Linked DNA regions of Mus musculus. The protein of the gene in region 2 purifies or fractionates together with the protein of the main gene of each other region. This does not show direct contact. Links are inferred from orthologs where the notes say so. Each region holds a gene or a part of one and is shown on either strand. Other genes may lie near its edges. The genes, in order: Ppp2cb, Cep43, Cep350, Ppp2r3c and Cep78.

What was found.
Region 1: the proteins of Cep43 (region 2) and Ppp2cb purify together in Homo sapiens (affinity purification with mass spectrometry; 4 studies listed by BioGRID and IntAct, counting the BioPlex papers as one, with this or other methods). This does not show direct contact. The link is inferred for Mus musculus from reciprocal best matches to the Homo sapiens genes CEP43 and PPP2CB.
Region 3: the proteins of Cep43 (region 2) and Cep350 purify together in Homo sapiens (affinity purification with mass spectrometry; 6 studies listed by BioGRID and IntAct, counting the BioPlex papers as one, with this or other methods). This does not show direct contact. The link is inferred for Mus musculus from reciprocal best matches to the Homo sapiens genes CEP43 and CEP350.
Region 4: the proteins of Cep43 (region 2) and Ppp2r3c purify together in Homo sapiens (affinity purification with mass spectrometry; 3 studies listed by BioGRID and IntAct, counting the BioPlex papers as one, with this or other methods). This does not show direct contact. The link is inferred for Mus musculus from reciprocal best matches to the Homo sapiens genes CEP43 and PPP2R3C.
Region 5: the proteins of Cep43 (region 2) and Cep78 purify together in Homo sapiens (affinity purification with mass spectrometry; 3 studies listed by BioGRID and IntAct, with this or other methods). This does not show direct contact. The link is inferred for Mus musculus from reciprocal best matches to the Homo sapiens genes CEP43 and CEP78.

The regions. Positions count from the first base shown.
Region 1 is NC_000074.6:33,616,613-33,620,311, reverse strand, and holds the end of Ppp2cb (serine/threonine-protein phosphatase 2A catalytic subunit beta isoform), read right to left. Parts: intron 3,286-3,699; coding exon 3,167-3,285; intron 1,191-3,166; coding exon 1,118-1,190; 3' UTR 508-1,117; downstream 1-507.
Region 2 is NC_000083.6:8,164,333-8,168,326, forward strand, and holds the start of Cep43 (FGFR1 oncogene partner), read left to right. Parts: upstream 1-1,185; 5' UTR 1,186-1,264; coding exon 1,265-1,366; intron 1,367-1,591; coding exon 1,592-1,645; intron 1,646-3,994. UniProt on the Homo sapiens protein: Required for anchoring microtubules to the centrosomes. Required for ciliation.
Region 3 is NC_000067.6:155,858,250-155,861,764, reverse strand, and holds part of Cep350 (centrosome-associated protein 350), read left to right. Parts: coding exon 1-117; intron 118-924; coding exon 925-1,329; intron 1,330-1,449; coding exon 1,450-1,596; intron 1,597-3,515. UniProt on the Homo sapiens protein: Plays an essential role in centriole growth by stabilizing a procentriolar seed composed of at least, SASS6 and CPAP. Required for anchoring microtubules to the centrosomes and for the integrity of the microtubule network.
Region 4 is NC_000078.6:55,289,491-55,293,005, forward strand, and holds part of Ppp2r3c (serine/threonine-protein phosphatase 2A regulatory subunit B'' subunit gamma), read right to left. Parts: intron 3,225-3,515; exon of another isoform or gene 3,085-3,224; coding exon 3,014-3,084; intron 303-3,013; coding exon 170-302; intron 1-169. UniProt on the Homo sapiens protein: May regulate MCM3AP phosphorylation through phosphatase recruitment. May act as a negative regulator of ABCB1 expression and function through the dephosphorylation of ABCB1 by TFPI2/PPP2R3C complex.
Region 5 is NC_000085.6:15,982,182-15,986,343, reverse strand, and holds the start of Cep78 (centrosomal protein of 78 kDa), read left to right. Parts: upstream 1-1,354; 5' UTR 1,355-1,463; coding exon 1,464-1,731; exon of another isoform or gene 1,732-1,834; intron 1,835-4,162. UniProt on the Homo sapiens protein: Centriole wall protein that localizes to mature centrioles and regulates centriole and cilia biogenesis. Involved in centrosome duplication: required for efficient PLK4 centrosomal localization and PLK4-induced overduplication of centrioles.

The DNA.
Region 1 (3,699 bases), on a different chromosome or scaffold from region 2:
TGTTTTTAGGTTAAAGGAGACAACCTAGCTCAGCTTTTAAAGTCCCTTCTGTTAGATTTAGAATATAGTTATTAAAGCAATCTACATTTTGCACTTAAAATTATGAATAAATTAATATGAACCACCTAATGAAATGCTTAGATATGCAACAATCGCCTTTTCAGTGGTCTAACAGTTATCAGTATTTTGACTTTGTTCTGCTTTTGAGTGTAAACTATAAACAAACATTACTTCTGCAGTACCTGTGCACATAACTTGGAATTGAATATAAGGCCTGGGGTGAACACCCCACCAGGCGAATATGTCAGTACAGCTGCCTACTGTTATTACTCAGCAGATATCTGTGGCCTAGCAAGGAGCCCCATACTGGCAATTCTATCCCTCGGAAGGAGAGCCAGGAGTATCAAGGAGATTCAAAGTCTAAAAAACAACCAGCCACAGTTCTAAGTATTTGTATAAAGTTTCAAAATGGCGATGCTTCCATTTAATGTACATCACAGTTAAAAAATGTTTTTCTCTAAATCGGAAATTTTATTTGTTCAGTACACCAAATAGGATGCAAGCACTGTCATGACAAATATACAGAAATATGCAGCTCAACATCCAACAGTAATTTAGTTTAGGAAACTTTAAAGGAAATCTCTTTAATGTTATGACAACATACTCCCAAGAATCTCTTCTTCAGTTAGTCATACATTTCAATAAAATAAAGGATTATGAATTGAAGTGGAAGTCAGCTTGTGAATTCTTAAAAAATAAAACTCCAACTCTATAATCCATGCCAGTTAAACTTGTTAACTAAATTTCCAAGTAAGCGCAAAGGAGACGAAGCAGTCAGTGACCCTTTTTGCTTAACCAGTCAAGAAAAATGGTCACTACCGCCCAGCAGGCAGGCTGTGGGCTGACTCATCTACAACAGTGTGCTAGAGTTCACATTGTGCTAACCGCTCATCATTAGTATGGCACGTTTTGGTCCATGATGTGTTTTAATGTCAAGACATATCACAATTTGTTACAGAAACACAAATAACTGTTGTTTTTAAATATATATGTATATATATATATTTTAAAAAGCCAGGTATACTTCCACATACAAAGACAGGTCCTGGGGAGGAATTTACAGGAAGTAGTCTGGGGTGCGCCGGGTCACATGAGGCTCTCCACGACGAGGTGCTGGGTCAAACTGAAGACTAAAAATGACAAAGAAAATGGTCAGCAAGTAAGCCAGCCAGTAAGACGGAACAGACTGAGCCTCCTTCCTGTAGCTTTCAGCAACGCTGCATCCCACGTGGCTGGGATGACCCTGAACTCATTCGTCACTAGCAACCACACAGTTAGCACTTCACAGCTATGGTGAAAATGTACACGTCTGTTTGTGCCCAGCAGAAGAGAACACTGAATTTTACCAAGTGCCTTTTCTGTCAAAATAGCTATTTGTCTGTTGTGTGTGTGTTTTAATATTAATGTTAGTACACTGACTTTTTCCTATTTTTTTTTATCAACACTGTGGTCTTGGGATAAATAAATGCTATTTGTGTTTTCCTTCTCCAACAGTCCTGAAAGGATGCAACTAACCATAGTAATACGCAAACACTCACAGGAGTCAGGATGTATTCCCAATTTTTTGCCGCTGTAGTTGAGATGTGGTTTCATATAGCCTACAGTGGCCCCAAACTCGCAGCACAGGCTGTGAAATCCTGATCTCCCTGGCTCTACCTTGTCAGTACTGGGATTACAGGCATGCAAGTAGCACCATGCATACATAGCAAGTGTTTTATTTGACAAATGTTTCTGAAACCAGGTTTCATGTATTCCAGGCTGGCCTTGACTCAAACCAACCTGCTTCCATTTCCCAAGTCCTGGGATTACATACGTGCATCACCATGGCCAGTTTACAATGATGGGCTTGAACCCAGGATTTCGTGTATGCTAGGATAAACAGAGTACCAAGAAGGCCGTAACGCCCAGTAGTAAAGGCTTTATTAAACCTAAAATAAGTCAATTTTTAAAAAGGTTTGTTTATGTATACGAGTACACTGTAGCTGTCTTCAGACACCCCAGAAGGTGGCATCAGATTCCCATTACAGATGGTTGTGAGCCACCATGTGCTGGGAATTGAATTTAGGACCTCTGGAAGAGCAGTCAGTGCTCTTAACCTCTGAGCCATCTCTCCAGCCCCAAATAAGTGACTTTTAGTTACATGTATGTCAGATCCCTGGAACTGAAACTAGAGGTGGTTGTGAGCTGCAGTGTAAGCGCTGGGAATGAAGATGGTATCCGTGGAAGGTCAGCCGTGCTGGCCACCAAGGCACTTCCTAGGCCCCCGGGCGGTTACAGTTCCTCTTTTTGTCTGAGTCTTGTTTGTCTTTCTAAGATAGGGTATGTCTGTAGTCCTTGCTGTCCTGAAATTCATGTAGAGCATACACCAGACTGGCTCAAACCCATCTCTGCTTCTGCCTCCAGAGTGCTAGGATTAAGAACTTGTACCACCACACCCGGCTTATGGTTCTCTTAAATGTTTTTCTATTAGCTGTAAGCTCTTGGGAAAGTTTCAATAAACTGTAGGCAGAGGCGGGTGGATCTCTGTGAATTTGGAGCCAGCCTGGTCTACAGAGTGAGTTCCAGGACAGCCAGAGCTACAAAGAGAAACTTTGTCTTGAAAAAAAACAAAACAAAAAAAACCCCACTTTCTGCAGCAGTGGCCTAGCAATGCAGGAGGCCATGGTTTACGAGTGCTGCACATCAGAAAGTTCTTGAGTTCAATGTTGGGGAAGAGGGTCTGCACGCACACTCCTCCTCCTCCCCTGTCATAAGCAGAGCTCTTTTTTTTTTTTTTTTTTTTTTGGTTTTTTGAGACAGGGTTTCTCTGTATAGCCCTGGCTGTCCTGGAACTCACTCTGTAGACCAGGCTGGCCTCGAAATCAGAAATCCTCTTGCCTCTGCCTCCTGAGTGCTGGGATTAAAGGCATGTGCCATCACGCCCGGCTTCCTGTCTCTTTTCATACATGCATGTGTGTATGAGTGTATGCACACATGTGTGCAGGTATCTATGGAAGTCATACTAGACTGTAGTTAAGTGCTCTGAGCTGCTGAGCCACCTCTCCAGCTCCCAAGGCTATTTTCCTCTAAAAGTCATTACATACAATTAAAATGTAAAGTTACTTACAATGAATATTTTAAAGTGTCATCTAATTCCATGATAGCAGCCTGGTTCCCACAACGGTAGCAGTAATTGGGCGCACTAAAAATGGTGACCACATTCCGATCATGGCACCAGTTATATCCCTGCAACATTAAAAAGGTCATTGTTTCATTATAAAATCCAATTTTGACAGATCAAGTCACAAATACTTCGGTGGCTATGTTACCTTTTATAATCTAAGTTTATGCAACTGTTCAGACTTTTAAACATTTATTAGGTACAAGATTCTATTATATACCTCAGTAACCATACAGCTTTTCTTAACCTACACTTAAGATTTTAACTTAGAATATACACTGAATTTCTCAGAAAACCATAGTAACTTCCCCATTTTCCTTCATAAACTTTGCTAAGTATTTTATTTTATTTTGAGAAAGAATTTTGCTATTTAGACTACCCTGTTCTCAAACTTGCAATTGCCCCAGCCTCCCAAGTGCTGAGACATGATAGAAATGAGCCTGGCTTCTAAAGTTTGCTACTAAGTTTGCTTGAAACTC
Region 2 (3,994 bases):
GAGTATCCGATCTACAGATCAGCTAATGCCTCAAGCCCGTCATTCTCCACAGTAGTGTGTCATCTGCATTGGACCAGCCTCCCAACCCCCATTCCTGGTTCCTTCTGCCAACTACACCAGTGCTGCTTTCACTGCACACAGACGAGTTTCTTCCTTTACTGGAGCACTCTCCCCTTCATCTGGCCCTAGCTTGAAGTTTGCACACTACAAGGACTCCTCTTAGTTTTTCCTGATCTATTAAACCCATTTCCTTTCCTGTGCCCCGATTGTAATTAGACTGCCAGCATGGGAAGTACTCTTTGCTCCCTCTTAACCAATGTCCTCAGTGTTCGGTGTGACCCTTCTAACCCCCTAACTGTTCTCCTTAAGGCCAGGCTTAAAAATTAACCTCTCAATGGTTCCTTTCTTGGAAGATGTAGGAAAACAAACAAAAAAACCACTCTTCTAGTTTCTCTCATAAAAAGCAGCACAGAAAGCGTTTAACTTTATTCCTACGTGAATATGCATTCATACTGCACAGGCCACTTGCGTGGTTGGAAATGAGTCCACAACCCTTTTACAGACCGGTATGGGGAAACTTTGTGAAGTTCCAAGCCAACACGTTTGAAGCTTCCCATGTATGAGGCAGCCTGGAATTTCCTCTCCTGGCCGATTGCTCTTTCAAAAGAATAAGAGCAAGGTTCCAGAGACAGCAGACCCCGCCGCCGAGCAAAACCGGCTTAAGCTGAGCGAGTATACACGCACAGAGGCGAGAATAGAATGCCTACTTGCTGCTCACGCTTAGAAACAACCCCTTGGAAGGCCCCGCCCCGCAGTTTACTCCGCCCACTTGGAGTCTCCGCTCCGCAGTTCCTCTTGTCCCTCCCTCCCAGAGCCTCTCCCCCCGACACCGCCATCTAAGCGGGTCGAGCCAGTAAGTTCAGCCAAAGTGGACTCTTCTCTCGCACAGGAATGGGGAAATTAAGTGCAATTTAGTGAAATTTCTAATATAATTCTGTTAATATGCCACAGAGCGCGTCACCAGAGCCTGACCCGGTCACCAGAGCCTGACCCCGCCCCGTGTCCATGGCTCCGCCCATAAACGACACGCTGAGACCTCGCCCCTCGCGTCATGAAACCCAAACACCGGCCTGAAGGCCCCACCCCGTAGGTCTTCTTCCCCGCGTGAGGGGCGGGGCTGCGACTGCGCGCTCGCGGGCCGGGTGGCTTCCGCGGCGGCCGTTGGCCGTTAGCGCGGCTTGGGTGGTTGTCTTGGAGAAGCAAGATGGCGGCGACTACCGCCGCGGTGGTGGCCGAGGAAGACACGGAGCTGCGCGACCTGCTGGTGCAGACGCTGGAGAACAGCGGCGTGCTGAACCGCATCAAGGTGCGGCGGGGCGGCCGCCGGGGCTCGGGGCTGCGCGGGACGCCGGCACGAGGCGGCCACGCGGCCGTGGGGCCTTGGCCCGAGTTCGTGGGCCGGGTGTGGAGCGCACAGGCCCGTCGCCTTCCATCGCTCGCTGCCCGCGCGGCCGGCACCCTCGTGTCTGCCCCCGTTCTTTCAGGTTGCGAAACTGACTTATAATCTTGTGGTTTTTTTTTTTTTTTGAAGGCTGAACTCAGAGCGGCTGTGTTTTTAGCACTAGAAGAACAAGAAAAAGTAGAGGTAAGAGATCCCCAGACCTTGTTCATGCCGTACCTCTTAATGCCCGGTTTCTAATAAATGAAAAGCCGTCCTGAAATAGTTCAGTAACTAACCGGGGATGCTTCTGAACGGCTAAGGATTGGGCTTTTACCAATACTCATTTTCTAAATCATTTTGCACGTTTAGAGTGGCCTTAAAGTAGCACAGGAATTTCGGGAGACAGTAGTAGCTAAGGCTCAGGTGCAGGAGTCACGTGAAAGCGGTTCGTTGAGTTACCGGAAGTATTACTTTGAAATTTTTATAAGCTAGTACACTTCAAATGTCTTGGCAGTAAGGAATGCACACTGGAACCTTTTCCCAAATTCTGATTGGTTGGTTAAAAATCTGACCATTACTTTAAAAACATCTCTGATCTTATCCCCCCACCCCCCAAAAAAGAAATCTAGTGAGACCTGAATGTTTAATAACTTGGCTTTTCTGCCTACCCCAGGCCCCAGCAACCATCCTGAGTAAATGTCCTGTAACTCCTTGTCAGTAAGAATCACAGGAGAATCAAAGTCTTACTGTGTGACAGATCTGCCTCCATCCTTCCACGGCTGTGGCCCTGTTTAACCTACCTGCTCTTAACTTTCTCCTCTTCATCCTTACTGGTTGGTTCTTGGCCAGGCTGGGTCCCATTGTCCACCCTTGGGAGTCTCATGTTTCTTTGCTTTCTAGTTAAACAGTAATTATCATTTGATCCAGTGAATTATTTTCTTAACCTGTTTCTGCATAAGCATTGCCAAAGAAAAGTCACTTAGCCAGGTGACTGTGTGAGTTCCGTAGTGGTGGGTTGTAACTGAGCAGGGTCTGGGGTTCTCCCGTCTGGTCCCCTTTAGCTTTCTTACCTGATCCTTCACTCACAGGAACAAGAGAAGCTCCTGGGTCCTAACTTGTGCCCTGTTGCTGCTATCCCAGTCTGTCAGTTCAGGAAGGTTACCTGTATCCGTCTAGCTGTACTCCTACTTTCAGAGAAGAGGCTCGGTCTTGCCAATATAATTTGTTTGGTTTTGTCTGCTATGTATTCTCATCTCCTTAGTTAAATACTGTGTCTTTGATTTCTTTTCTGCTGGCTCTTTTGAGCACAAAAATGTTTAATTGCTCTTAAAATCGTTTTATTCTTGATTTTCTCCTGCTTTAACAGGCAAAGTTTGAACTGTACATCTCATGATGTTTTTTATTACGAGGTATCCCTTGCTCCATTAAACATTTAAACACAGTACTGCTATACCCGAAACGTCTCTTGCTACATTCTAGAAGGTTCCTCCACTTGAGTATGCTTCAGCTGTCACCCAGCTCGCCTGGCTGTTGCACCATCTAACAGTGACCCCTCTTTCATTTTTGGAAATGTTTTGACCTTGGGAACCTTTTTCTAAGTGTTTTCCTTTTGCCTAGTCCTTGGTTTCTTTTAAGATCTCCTCCCTGCGTACCATACTTCAGTTGTCGGTGTCCTGCCCCAGTGCTTAGTCTGCAGCTTCCCCAAGGCAACCTTAACACCACTGGTAACTTTGTCACGTGTCTGGTGCACAGCTCCCGTTCCGAGCTTCAGACCTGCGTGTTAGGTTAGGCCGTGTAACAGACTGATGTCCATGAGTTTTCCAGGCCTGCTCTGCCCTTGCTCTGTCATCTCCTGGCAGTGTCTGCCTGCCCTTCTTGGCTTAGTTACAGCTTTTCCAGAGTGACACTTGCTACTCCCCATCTGTCATGGGTGCCCTCATCCTATGTCTCAGGTCTTCAGCTGTCCTGGGTTGGCCATTTGTAGCACATGCCTGAATCTGTCCTTCTGGTCTCCTTGAGAGACCAGTTCGGTTAACTCAGCGTCCTAGAGTCTCTATACCATGTACTTCTGTGATTTTTCTCCCTCTTTAACTTAAGGTATAGTTGTTTCTGTAAATGCATACCTTAAAATGTCAGATTTGATAAACTTTACTATTTATGGAATGTGAGGAACACAACCAAGAAAGAAAATCTAGGCACAACCCTTTGAGTTTGCCTTCCCCAACCTTCCCCAGCATCTCAGTTAGTTTCAAAGCCATGCAAATGGGAATGTGTAAAATTCACTTATGTCTGATAATCATCATAATGCTGTAGTGTATCTTATTATTCCACTTAGTCCTGTTTTCAGGAATGGTAGATTGTTGCATTAGTCACTGAGTGGATAGTTTTATTTGCTTAGCCACTTACGCTTTGATACCACATTTGGGTTGTCCCTGTTTTTCACTTGTGGATAATGCTGCTGTGAATGGTCATGTCCAGATCTTTGCTGGGATCTGGGATTTATCTTTAGAAAATATTTGAGGGTGGAATGACTAGCTCACCTGCTGGAGATAA
Region 3 (3,515 bases), on a different chromosome or scaffold from region 2:
CAAGACCTACCCCAAAATACTGAAGAACAATCACCCAGTGTTCCAAGTTGCTTTTTAAGGTCTGAATTGGAAGATGAAAAAGAAGAGATTTCTTCTCCTGATATGTGTCCCAGACCTGTGAGTATTTATCTAGAGAAGAGTCTGATTGCCTTCCTTTGTAGCATCCACTAGTTCTGTTTGGGATGACATTTCCCCAGCCTGCTGCTTATTAAATACTATTTTTAGAGGACTTGTAGCTGTTTTTCCATCTGAGGTATAATTGCCCTCTGTTATGTCATGAGTAGTCACCATAGGGTTGTCATGAACACTGTCAGGTTGTAGAAACTGAAACTTCTTTTAAACTACTCTGTTGATGGCCCCTATATACAGTCCACATGTTATATCTCTTTCCACATTCCTTGGAACTTCCCAGTGGTTCTCAGCCCAGGTCTCTTTCACTCGTCTATTCAGTAATGGTTCCCTACAGAGATTAGCAGTTGTGGTGATGATTCTGATAAAACTGAAACAGAGCCTCTATGACATAGACTCAGACTGTCAGCTGTGTAGGTTGCCCATGGATAACTAAGGAAAGGGATGATTTTGATTAACTTGAGCCAGATAATCACCAAAGGTAAGGCTTTTCATTTCCCATGTCAGAATCCTAGTGATAGTCCTTCAGAAATAGAATGATTCATGATATGTAAAAGGAAAAAAAAAACTAATGAATAAATATTTTATTATAAAATTTAATGACTAGGTTTATATAAGCAAAAGAGTGGAAAGAAGATAGATTTTTCTTATTCATCAGTGACCATTATATTGTAATTTTGCATTTCTTACAGAGATATTAAAACACGTAAGTAATAGGTGTGCATTATCTTTCAAAAGCTGTTAGGTAAGGCAAAGTCACTAAATGGTCCTTTATTTGAATGTTTATTTCTATAGGAGAGCCCAGTGTTTGGTGCCAGTGGGCAGGAAGAGCTAGCTAAGAGACTTGCTGAACTTGAGATCAGCCGAGAGTTCCTGAGCGCATTAGATGATCAAGACTGGTTTGATGAAGATTTTGGTTTGAGCTCTTCTCACAAGATCCAAAAGAATAAGGCAGAAGAAACAATCGTACCTCTAATGGCAGAACCTAAGCGAGCACCCCAGAAGCCATGTGAGACATTATTGGCAGTTCCCCATACGGCAGAGGAAGTAGAAAGCCTTGTCCATAATGCAGCAGAGGAGCTTTGGAAATGGAAAGAGTTGGGTCAGGACCTTCATGGCCTCAGTCTTCCTACCACGTTCCTTGGTGGTGCCAGCAAAGGTCTAGACATAGGCAGCACAAGTAGAAGAGTCTACAAACAGGTAACAAAGCACCGCTGTTCTTCGCTTCCCACCCATTGTCTGAAATCTGGATTCTCGACCACTTTCTTACTGTCGTTTTGTTCTTTTTTTCCCCCTTTCTTTTCTTTTCTCTCTGTTAAGGCGGTTTTTGATTTAACAAAAGAGATTTTTGAGGAAATATTTGCTGAGGATCCCAACGTGAATCAGCCTGTCTGGATGAAGCCATGCAGAATCAATTCTAGTTATTTCCGACGTGTGAAAAATCCAAATAATCTTGATGAAATCAAGGTAAGTTGCAAACTCTATTATCTCTTTTGGTTTCCTTTGTATTTATACAGGTCTATAAGTGACATAGAAGTGGGCACTTGTCTATATATACATGAGTAGTTGTTCATGGAGTCAACAGTAATAGTATTGACTCCTGGCCTTTAGACACTGGGCAGTCAGGTCTTACATGCATGCTGGTGTAGTCTATCCCATATATTCATGTATTTTCTTCTGTCAGCAAGTTTTGTTGTTGTTTTTGTTGTGTGTTGTTTGAGATAGGGCCTATGCTGACTTTGAAGTCATAGTCCTTTGTCTTTGAGACTCCCAAGTGCTAAGATAACATCCTTGAGCCACCAGGCCTGGCTACAGAAGTCTCCTTTTCAGAGCAGTACTTCTCAGAGTTAATGTATGTACATAAAAATCATCTGGGGTGTTTAAAATGGAGCTTTTGAGAAAGGAGCCTGAAATTCTGCTCTCAAGTGTACAGTTAATACTGTCGATTCCAGGGTTATTCTTGAGCAATGAGGCTTAGGAGTTGAGTTTTTCAAACTTTCTTAATCCTAAAAAGTCTTCTAAAAAGATTTTATGTTTGCAGACACCAATTTATCTATAAGCTATGTTATGTGTGGTCAGAGGTTGGCAAACTATGAGCCATGGGCTTTATCTAGCCATAGCCTTTACCAATCAAGTACTGTTGGACCACAGGCAGACGTCCGTGTGCTTACCTTCTGCTGCAGTAGTACAGTTAGTAGACAGAAGGCAGATGGCGAAGACCATGTGGCCCACAGAGCCTGAGCTACTTACATTTGATCCTTCACAGAGACGTTTTCACAGTACACTGCACGTTTTATACCTTCCACTCATCCAAGTTAATACATCTCTTGAGTACATCATGTGCCTGTCTACAGACAGAGGAGTAGAATTGGGGCTCACATCAGCAGTTTGAGAATCTTGTCCAACGATTCTGATTTATAAATATATCTTTCTCCTCCACTGAGATCATTGTCTATTGAAATACCTTCAAAAGTAGTAAAAATAAATTGTTAATAACATAATAAGCTAAAATAAGACAAGACACCTAATATAAAGGCCATCATTAAACTGCATATCATATGTATATACATGAAGCATAGACTAGATACTGTATATCATATGTGTATACATGAAGCATAGAGTACACACTGCATACTCACTTTAGTATTAAGTTTTTAATATTTTTAACTTGAAATGGATTTTTAAGGATGGTTGATTAGACACCGTTAATAGTTAAAGTCCCATGCTACAGATGCAGTGGCACATGCCTACCATCTTGGCATACCTAAGCTGAGGCACGAGGATTACAATGAGTTTGAGGCCAGCCTGGGCCATACTCTATCTCAAAATAATACTCTATCTCAAAAACCAAAACAAGGCAGCAGAACTTTGCCATGCCTCCTCTTTCTGAAGCGTTGGCAGTGTTTTATGTAACGTTTGAGATGGAGGCGTGTGCTCTTCTAGTGTAGTATTCTCCTAACTGCTCATGTGGCCTTTCCAGGTCAGAGTTACATGTTAGGTTTTCTTCACCAGTTTCTCTGCTTTGAAGTTAGCAGTGACGTGCTGGAGAGAACTGAGCAGTTAAGCGTGTGTTCTACTCTTACAAAGGACCCAAGTTCAGTTCCCAGCACCCACCCATTTTGGGTGGCTCACAACAGACTGTAACTCCAACCCCAAGGAGTCCAGCACCCTCCTCTGGCCTCCTATGGGAATATGCTTATATGTGCACACATAAGCACATAAGTAAAGTGTTTATTTTTAAAAGAGCAGTGGTTCTTTTAAAAACTCAACTCTGAAGTGATTTCTCTTTAAAGATATACCATTGATTTCCTTTTATATGTTCTATATAAACAAACTTTTAGGTGACTGCAGTCTGAGTGTTTGAGATGCTTTCCCTCCACACTGTA
Region 4 (3,515 bases), on a different chromosome or scaffold from region 2:
GCTCTCCATATAAAGGGAAGTGTGTGGGCTTGTACACTTGCCCACTCTCCGAGATGTGCCAGATTATGCCACTAACTTTAAAAACAAAGAGAAATTGTCCAAATTTGTCTAGTACTAAGACACTATCAACAAATAATATCCTAGTTTTTAAATTAGACAATGCTTTTACCTGTTCTTAGAGGGTCCAAGAAGAAGAAGAACTTCCTGACTGCAGTGCAGACATAGAAGGAGTAGAAGGACTTCTCCAGCCCGTCCAGCTGTGGCAGCGTCGGGATCAGCTCCAGGATGTAGTTCTCCAGGTCCTGGGACAAAGCAAGTTGTCAGCTGTCTGCCCTGACTTCCCACGGGGACAGACGGGAAGCTAGAATTGCAAACCCAATCAAACCCTTTCTCTCTTAAGATTGCTCTGGTTGGAGCATTTCATTACAGCAAAAGACACCATATTAGGGCAGCAAGTCACTATATTTAAACTCTCTGGCACACCTGTATTCCCAATACCTGGGAGGAGGTAGAGGCAGAAGGATCACTGCAAGTTCAAGTCCAGGCTGGCTACAAAGGCTGCAAGGTGAGACTCTGACTCACAAAACCCAAATTAGCAAATATGAGTCTCCTGTGGCGTTTTGTATTTATTTTAACAATTTCATTTTCGCTCTATTTTAGCATTTGCCCGACAGATCAGAGACTCTAAATTCATAAAAGAACAAGCACTCAAACCGGGTATCTAAAATGATCTCTTCCCAGAGCCTTCATGGGCTCTCCCATTCCCCCACTCTATATTATCAAAATAAAATTTCGGACTCAGCTTTGACTTCTTCAGTTCCTTTCCCCGAGTCCCATTCCCTATGCCACACATCCAACCTAGCAGCAAGGCCTGTGATTTCTTTCAGTTTTCCTTTCTTCTTTCCTTTTCACTCCCTTTTCTTTCCTTTGTTCTTCCTTCCTTCCTTCCTTCCTTTCCCTCCCAGTGTGGTAGAGGTGAAGGTAGGATGTGCAAAATGTGTATTTTTAGCTTTTGAAGGGATCTTTGGGATTAATAAAAGGCTCAGTATGTGATCACTGTCTATTGGACCTCCCTGCCACCTTAGCTTTTACTCTGGACACACAGGCTCCCATTTTTACAGACCGGCAGGAACAAGAGTCTATACTACAATGTTGATCTGCATTAAAGGACAAGAACTCTACATTATCCTTGGGAAGGACAAGAGGATGATTAAACACCTCTGAATAGTTAACTCAGTGGCTGACATTTATGCCCAACATACCTTTCTCCTTTGAGCTCTATAAGCGGGCTCCGTTTTAGAGAGAAAAATATAAGCCAAAAAATATACCTACATAATTTAGATAGTTGCCAAAAATATGGAAGTAGCATAGCCATTTTGATCAAGAGGTGTCAATCCCATCATAACCTGACCTAATGACATGCACACCTGATAGGAAACAAATATCCTCCTGGTAACTTACCATGTCCCTCTAAACCTGTGGGTAAAAACAAAGCCACATGAGATTTTTTCCCCTCTATTCTATAAAAAAGGAATTCCCTCGTCTTTTCCAAAATAAAATACTGCGCATATGAGAATACCCAAGAGCTGCTGAGGTGCGATGAAGAGCTTGCTGTGCAAGCTCAAAGACCTGAGTCTGAGCCCTGAAACCCATGGACAGGTGGAGAAAGAACCAAGGACACGAAGTTGTCCTTAACCTTCCCGTGTTCCCTGGCATGTGTGAGCCATACTACTTCTCTTTCTAGCCCCTAGAGGGGCTGGCTAGGGAGATGGCTCAGTGGTTACTGCACTTGCTATGCAAGTGGAAGAACTGGAGTCAGATCCAAGAGCCTACGTAAATGAGAGCATGCTGGTGATCCTCCTGTAACATCAGCCTTAGAAGAGCGACCCAGGGATCCCCAGAGCAAGCTGGCTATCAAACTAGCCATATAGCGAGCTCCAGGTTTGACTCAAAGAGCCCACCTCAACGAGTAAGAAGAAAGAGTAAATAAAGATGGTTCCTGAAATCAACTCAACCTCAGGGCTCCACGTCTGCCCTTGCATACGCCAAACACACATACAAAACCTTTTTTTCTTCAGTAATTCCTTTCTTTTCTTTTGGATCTTGAAGACAAGGTCTCATTACACAGCCCTACCACCTTGGCACTCTCTATTTGGAGCAGGCTAGCTGCAAACTTGCAGTGGTCCTTGTATCCTGGCCTCCTAAGCTAGGATTACAGGTGTGTGGCACCATACTTCACTCGTCAATTCGTTTCTTGGTTTTGCTTTTTTATTAAGATTTATTTGGTGTATATGAGCATTTCATCACTGACACACCAGAAGAGAGCATCGGATACAACCACAGATAGTTGTGAGCCACCATGTGGTTGCTGGGAATTGAACTCATGACCTGTAGAAGAGCAGACAGTACTCTTAACTGCTGAGCTATCTCTCCAGCCCACCTTGTTAATCAGTTTTAAAACCTGTTTTAGATACATTCTATTTACTCATTAATAATGTTTGTTATAAGAGACAGGTGGATTTCTGAGTTTGAGGCCAGCCTGATTTACAGAGTGAGTTCCAGGACAGCCAGGGCTACACAGAGGAACTCTGTCTCAAGAAACCAAAAAAAAAAAAAAAAAACCAAAAAAAAAAAAAAGTTTGTTATATAGCTCAGGTTGGTCTGGAACTCTACATGGAGCTTCAGCTACCTCTGAACTCCCAATAATCCTCCTGCCTCAGCTGTAAAATGCCTGGATTAGAAACATGTGCTAGGATGCTCAGCTTCATTTTCCTTTGAAAAAAGATCAAAGTATTTTTCTAAAGGCTGAAAAAAAAAAAAAGAACCCAAAAGACTATTTACGTGGTTAACATATACTAAAGTTAAACGTTTACAAAGGCAAAACCAGGCAAACCAAACTTATTAAGATAAAATCAAGCAACGTAAGTCTTAGCTACAATGACAACTAGTTGGTGGTAATTAGTGTTAATATTCTGTTGTCTATAATGTTTATTAAATTTAGGTCAATACTCACTGATTCCCGAAGGTATCCTTGGCCAGCAACATCATATAAACTGAGTCCTATTCTTGTCTGATGCAGCCAAACTGACAAACGGGAAAATTGCACGTAAATACTAACATCTGTTCTTTAGCACATATATGAACAAAAGAGTAAGGCGCTAGAAGTGTAGGCCAATTCAAAAACTCCACAAAACCCCATTTTACACACATAAGTAATCGGCGACCTGGAAGACATTTAAGCCAAAAGAAAAAGACATGAAACAGCAGATCTCAACAGTTCTGCCATGTTTACAACGACGGTAAAACGGATACCCTTGGGGATATTGGTGTTCCACCAAACAGAGAGAGCTGGCACTACATTGTGTCTTCAGTGAAGCCTGTATCCTCCTGGGGTTAATCACTGCAGCTAAGGTATTAATTATCAACGGTACACAGTAAGATTCTGCAGACCACATAGTCTTAGGAGATTCATAACAACTCCAAAATATGTTAATACAGGCTTCTTGAAAACACCA
Region 5 (4,162 bases), on a different chromosome or scaffold from region 2:
AATGACAGACTAAAAACAACAAACTTATGTTTTAAAAGAAGTGAATGAGGACACAAAAGACTTAACTGTGGACATTTAGCCTGTCATTCATAATGTCTCTTGAATATAGTATGCCTTATAAACAGAAAATCAAACTCATACCTCAGGAATTTATAAATGTGCTTTAAAGTATTTCAGAGAAATGGCTTAGCACTTAGGTGCACTTAACTGCCCTTCCAGAGGACTGGGTTCCATTCCCAGCACCTATGGTGGGTGGGTCACAAATGTCTCAAATGCCTATAACTTCAGGTCCAAGGCATCTGACGCCCCTTTCTGATATCCCTAAGCACTGTGTACACGTGTCACTCACACACACACACACACACACTGAATAAAAATATAAGCAAATCTTTTACAAATGTAACTGAAATGGTGGCTAGAGACAGCTCTTCTTTCAGAGGCTCTGAGTCTGGTTCCCAGCACCTACACTGACTGGCTCACTACCACCTGTAACACCAGTTCCAGAGGATCTGATGCCTTCTTCTGGTCACTCTGGACACTTGCACACAGATAGCATACAGGCACGTACCCATAAATAAATCCTTAAAAAGAATAAAACAGACTGATGTATTTATTACCCAGAGTTCACTTTGTTTCTGCTCAAAGTAATTCATTTTAATGCATAACTAAATAACATGACATAGGGAATAAAATAGCTCAACTTAACCACTGCTGAGTGAATCCCAAGTTCACTTTCCATAGCTATTATGCTCAATGTTACTAACTCTGTTAAAATCATTAATAATAAAACCGTAATGAAATTATGGTCTCTCTGTGATACAGGAGTCGTCTTCGAGTTTATTTAGAGTACTAACATTGAAAACTAGTAAGAGTTCGAGGCCAACCTAGTCTACAAAGTGAGTTCCAGGACAGCCAGGACTGTTATACAGAGAAACGTTGTCTCAAACAACACATAGAGAGATAGAGAGGGAGAGAAATATCCACCATCAATGGAGGATACTAAGCTAAACTCTAGCTTTGCCTAACCCAAAGAAGAGAGGAAGGAAGCCACCTGGTTTGCATACGTGTTGGGAAATTCTTCTTGTGACTTCTCTCGGTGAGGAAGCATAAACAGTTGAGCGCTTCTAACAGTCTTCTCGAGGCTAAACCCGCTTCTCAGTTCTCAGGTCAAGCCCGGTTCTCAGGTCGTCACTCCATTGCACCTCACTTTTGGTACCCAGAGGCGCGCTCACTGCAGAGCATCTACTCGCCTCCAGCTGATGGCGCGTTGGACGTAGCGAGCCCGGGTGGGCGTGGCCCGCGCTCTGACGCACAGCGAGCGCGCCGACGCATGCGCACGTCGCCCGCGGGAGCTCGCCGGTGACTAGAACGGCGGCGGCGGCTCCCAGAGCGGGCGCTAACCGCCCGAGGCGTGGCGGGAGGCGGCGCGGGGCGGCTGGTGGAGGTCCCCGGGGTTGCCGGTCATGATCGACTCGGTGAAGCTCCGGCGCGACTGCGCGGCCGACTTCTTCTCGCACTACGAGTACCTGTGCGCGCTGCAGGACTCCGTGCCGCTGCCCGCCGTGCGCGCCTGCCTGCGGGACGGCGTGCTGGACTTCAATGCCGACCGGCTGCGCGCGGTGGACTGGGCACCGCTGCTCAGCACGCTCAGGGTGAACCGCGACCTGCCGCTGGTGGCCATCAAGAGCTCCTTCCAGCCGTGGCTCGGGGAAACAGTTCTGCGGTCCGGAGGTGCGAGGGTTTGGTCGGAGAAGTGGGAGCCCGGTGCAGGATCAGCCTGCGAAGCGGCCTCCACCTAGCCACAAAGGAGTTTTTGCCGCCGCCTCCCTTGCAGGTTGCCGCCTCGGTCCGTTGTCTGGAGTAGTCAAGCTAGGGAGTAGAACTCGACACTGCCCCTTATTACAGCGAGGATGACCAACTCTGCACCCCGAGGGGAATATGCGTGATAATTTAGCAAATGGTCCCTGCCCTCTCTTCTTTTAGGGGTTTAAATGTACAATCTCCCTTCATTCGTAATTGCAAGTTTAATACAGAAAAGGAGAAGGTTAAAGATGGAAAGAAAAAAATGTATAACAAAAAAATAATCAGGGACGTCTTTTTTGATTTTTAGAAAAATATTTGAGGGTTTTGCCTTCGCGTGTGTATGTGCACTATGTGTGTGCAGTGCCTGCGGAGTACAGAAAAGGGGGTAAGAGGTCGGAGTCCATATGTGAACCACCATATGGATGCTGGGAACCGAACTCGCATCCTTTGCAAGAGCAGCAAGTATGTCCAACCATTGAGCCATCTCTCCAGCCCAAGGGACTATTATTATTTGTTTCTTTTATTTATTTATTTATTTATTTATTTATTTATTTATTTATTTATTTATTTATTTATTTGAGAGACAGGGTTTCTCTGTGTAGCCCTGGCTATCTTGGAACTCACTCTGTAGACCAGGCTGGCCTTGAACTCAGAGTCTGGCCTGCCTCTGCCTCTCGAGTGCTGGGATTGAAGGCGTGCGCCACCACTGCCCGACTGGAACTATTATTTTTGACGAACCCGTTGTAAAACAGTTGACTCTGGTTATTTGCAGATAACGTATTTACAAGTTCCTTTCATTTGAATTTTTGTAACTCCCAGCCAAGTCTTTGTGGTGCTTCTATGGTCATTCATGAACACCCGCCCAGAAGCCAAAAAAAAAAAATTACCATCCAATATATATGTTCCTTACTGATTTGCATATTTGTGTGTTTGTGTATCTTAGTATTGGCGTATGTGCACACTCAGAAACAAGAAAGGGGTGTTGGGTGTCCTTTGATGGCTCTTCACCCATTTTTTAAATTTATTTTTTATTTTATTTTATTTATTTATTTTTTGAGAGAGACAGGGTCTGTTTTCTTAGTTTGGCTGGAAGCCAATAAGCCCCAACTGCTCTCTTGACTCCGCCCCTTCCATGCTGGAGTTAGAAGTCCTGCTCCTGACGCCTGGTTTATGTGGGTTCTGGGATCACGGAACTCCAGTGCAGCAAATGCCCTTAACTACTGGGCCATCCTTCCAGCTGATTTTTCACACTCCGTTTTATTTTTAGATTTGCAAATAGTTGTTTGTGTGTTTATATGTATGTGGCATGTGTGTGCACACACGTGTACGTGGCATGTGTACACATACACACGTTGTGTGCATAGAGTCTAGAGGTTGGCCCTGAATGTCTTTCAGCTTTCCCATTTGTTTACTCAGGCAGGTTCTTCTCCCCTTCCTGCCCCGCCCCCCCCCCCAGGGGACTCACTGATTCCTTTGTCTGGCTAGCTAGTTTGCCCTAGGGATCATCTTTTGTTCCTTCACAGATTACATATAGGCTTTTACTTTGCTGGCCATCCAAGTTTGGGTCCTCAACATTTTTTCCTGCAAGTACCTTTATCAGTCTGGTCATCTCAGTTCCTAATTTCCTTCTCTATCTCTTTCTCTTTCCTCCTTTCTTCCTTCTTTCCTTTCTCTCCCCCCCCCCCACCCCTTTGCTTTTTTATTTTTAAGAGTGGTATCATGTAAGGAAAACCTGTGTTGTAGGCAACCTAAGGCCAGAGTTTCATATTTTAAATTTAAATTCTCACACATATAAAATCCATTGAAACAAGCCTGTTGTGGATTCTTTGGTTAAAGCGTGTTGTGTGTGCTAAGTGTCTGCAAGTTACTATTGGAAAGGGAAGGTGTGATGAGCTAGATTTGCTAGGGGCAGATTTGAAAGTCTGGCCCTTGACTGCCATAGTAATGGCCCAGATTTAAGGAACGATGAAAGAAGATGACTTAGAGTCAAGGCAGGCCTACCTGATCATGCTAGTATTTTATGTCTAGCATAAGGCATTCTTTGCAATATTTCCATGTCTCATATCCAGTGGGTATAGGCTGTGGGTGTTAGCCTCCTAGACACGACTTGTTTCTCTCTCTCAGCTGTTTTGACTGTACTATTGAAGAAGCTCCTGGCTGGCTTTGCTGTCTTGAACTCAGTTTCCCTCTGTGTAGATGGTCTCACTTAGCACAGAACCAGCACCTACTAACTGCAGTTTGTGCCTCCTTTACACTCTCGCCAGACCTGCTGGAAGGGGTGCTTTTCCTAACCTGTGTGGTTTAGGTGCCTCTCTGGTCATCCCTTTGTCTAATTGGTAATTGGTCCAACATTGAGGCA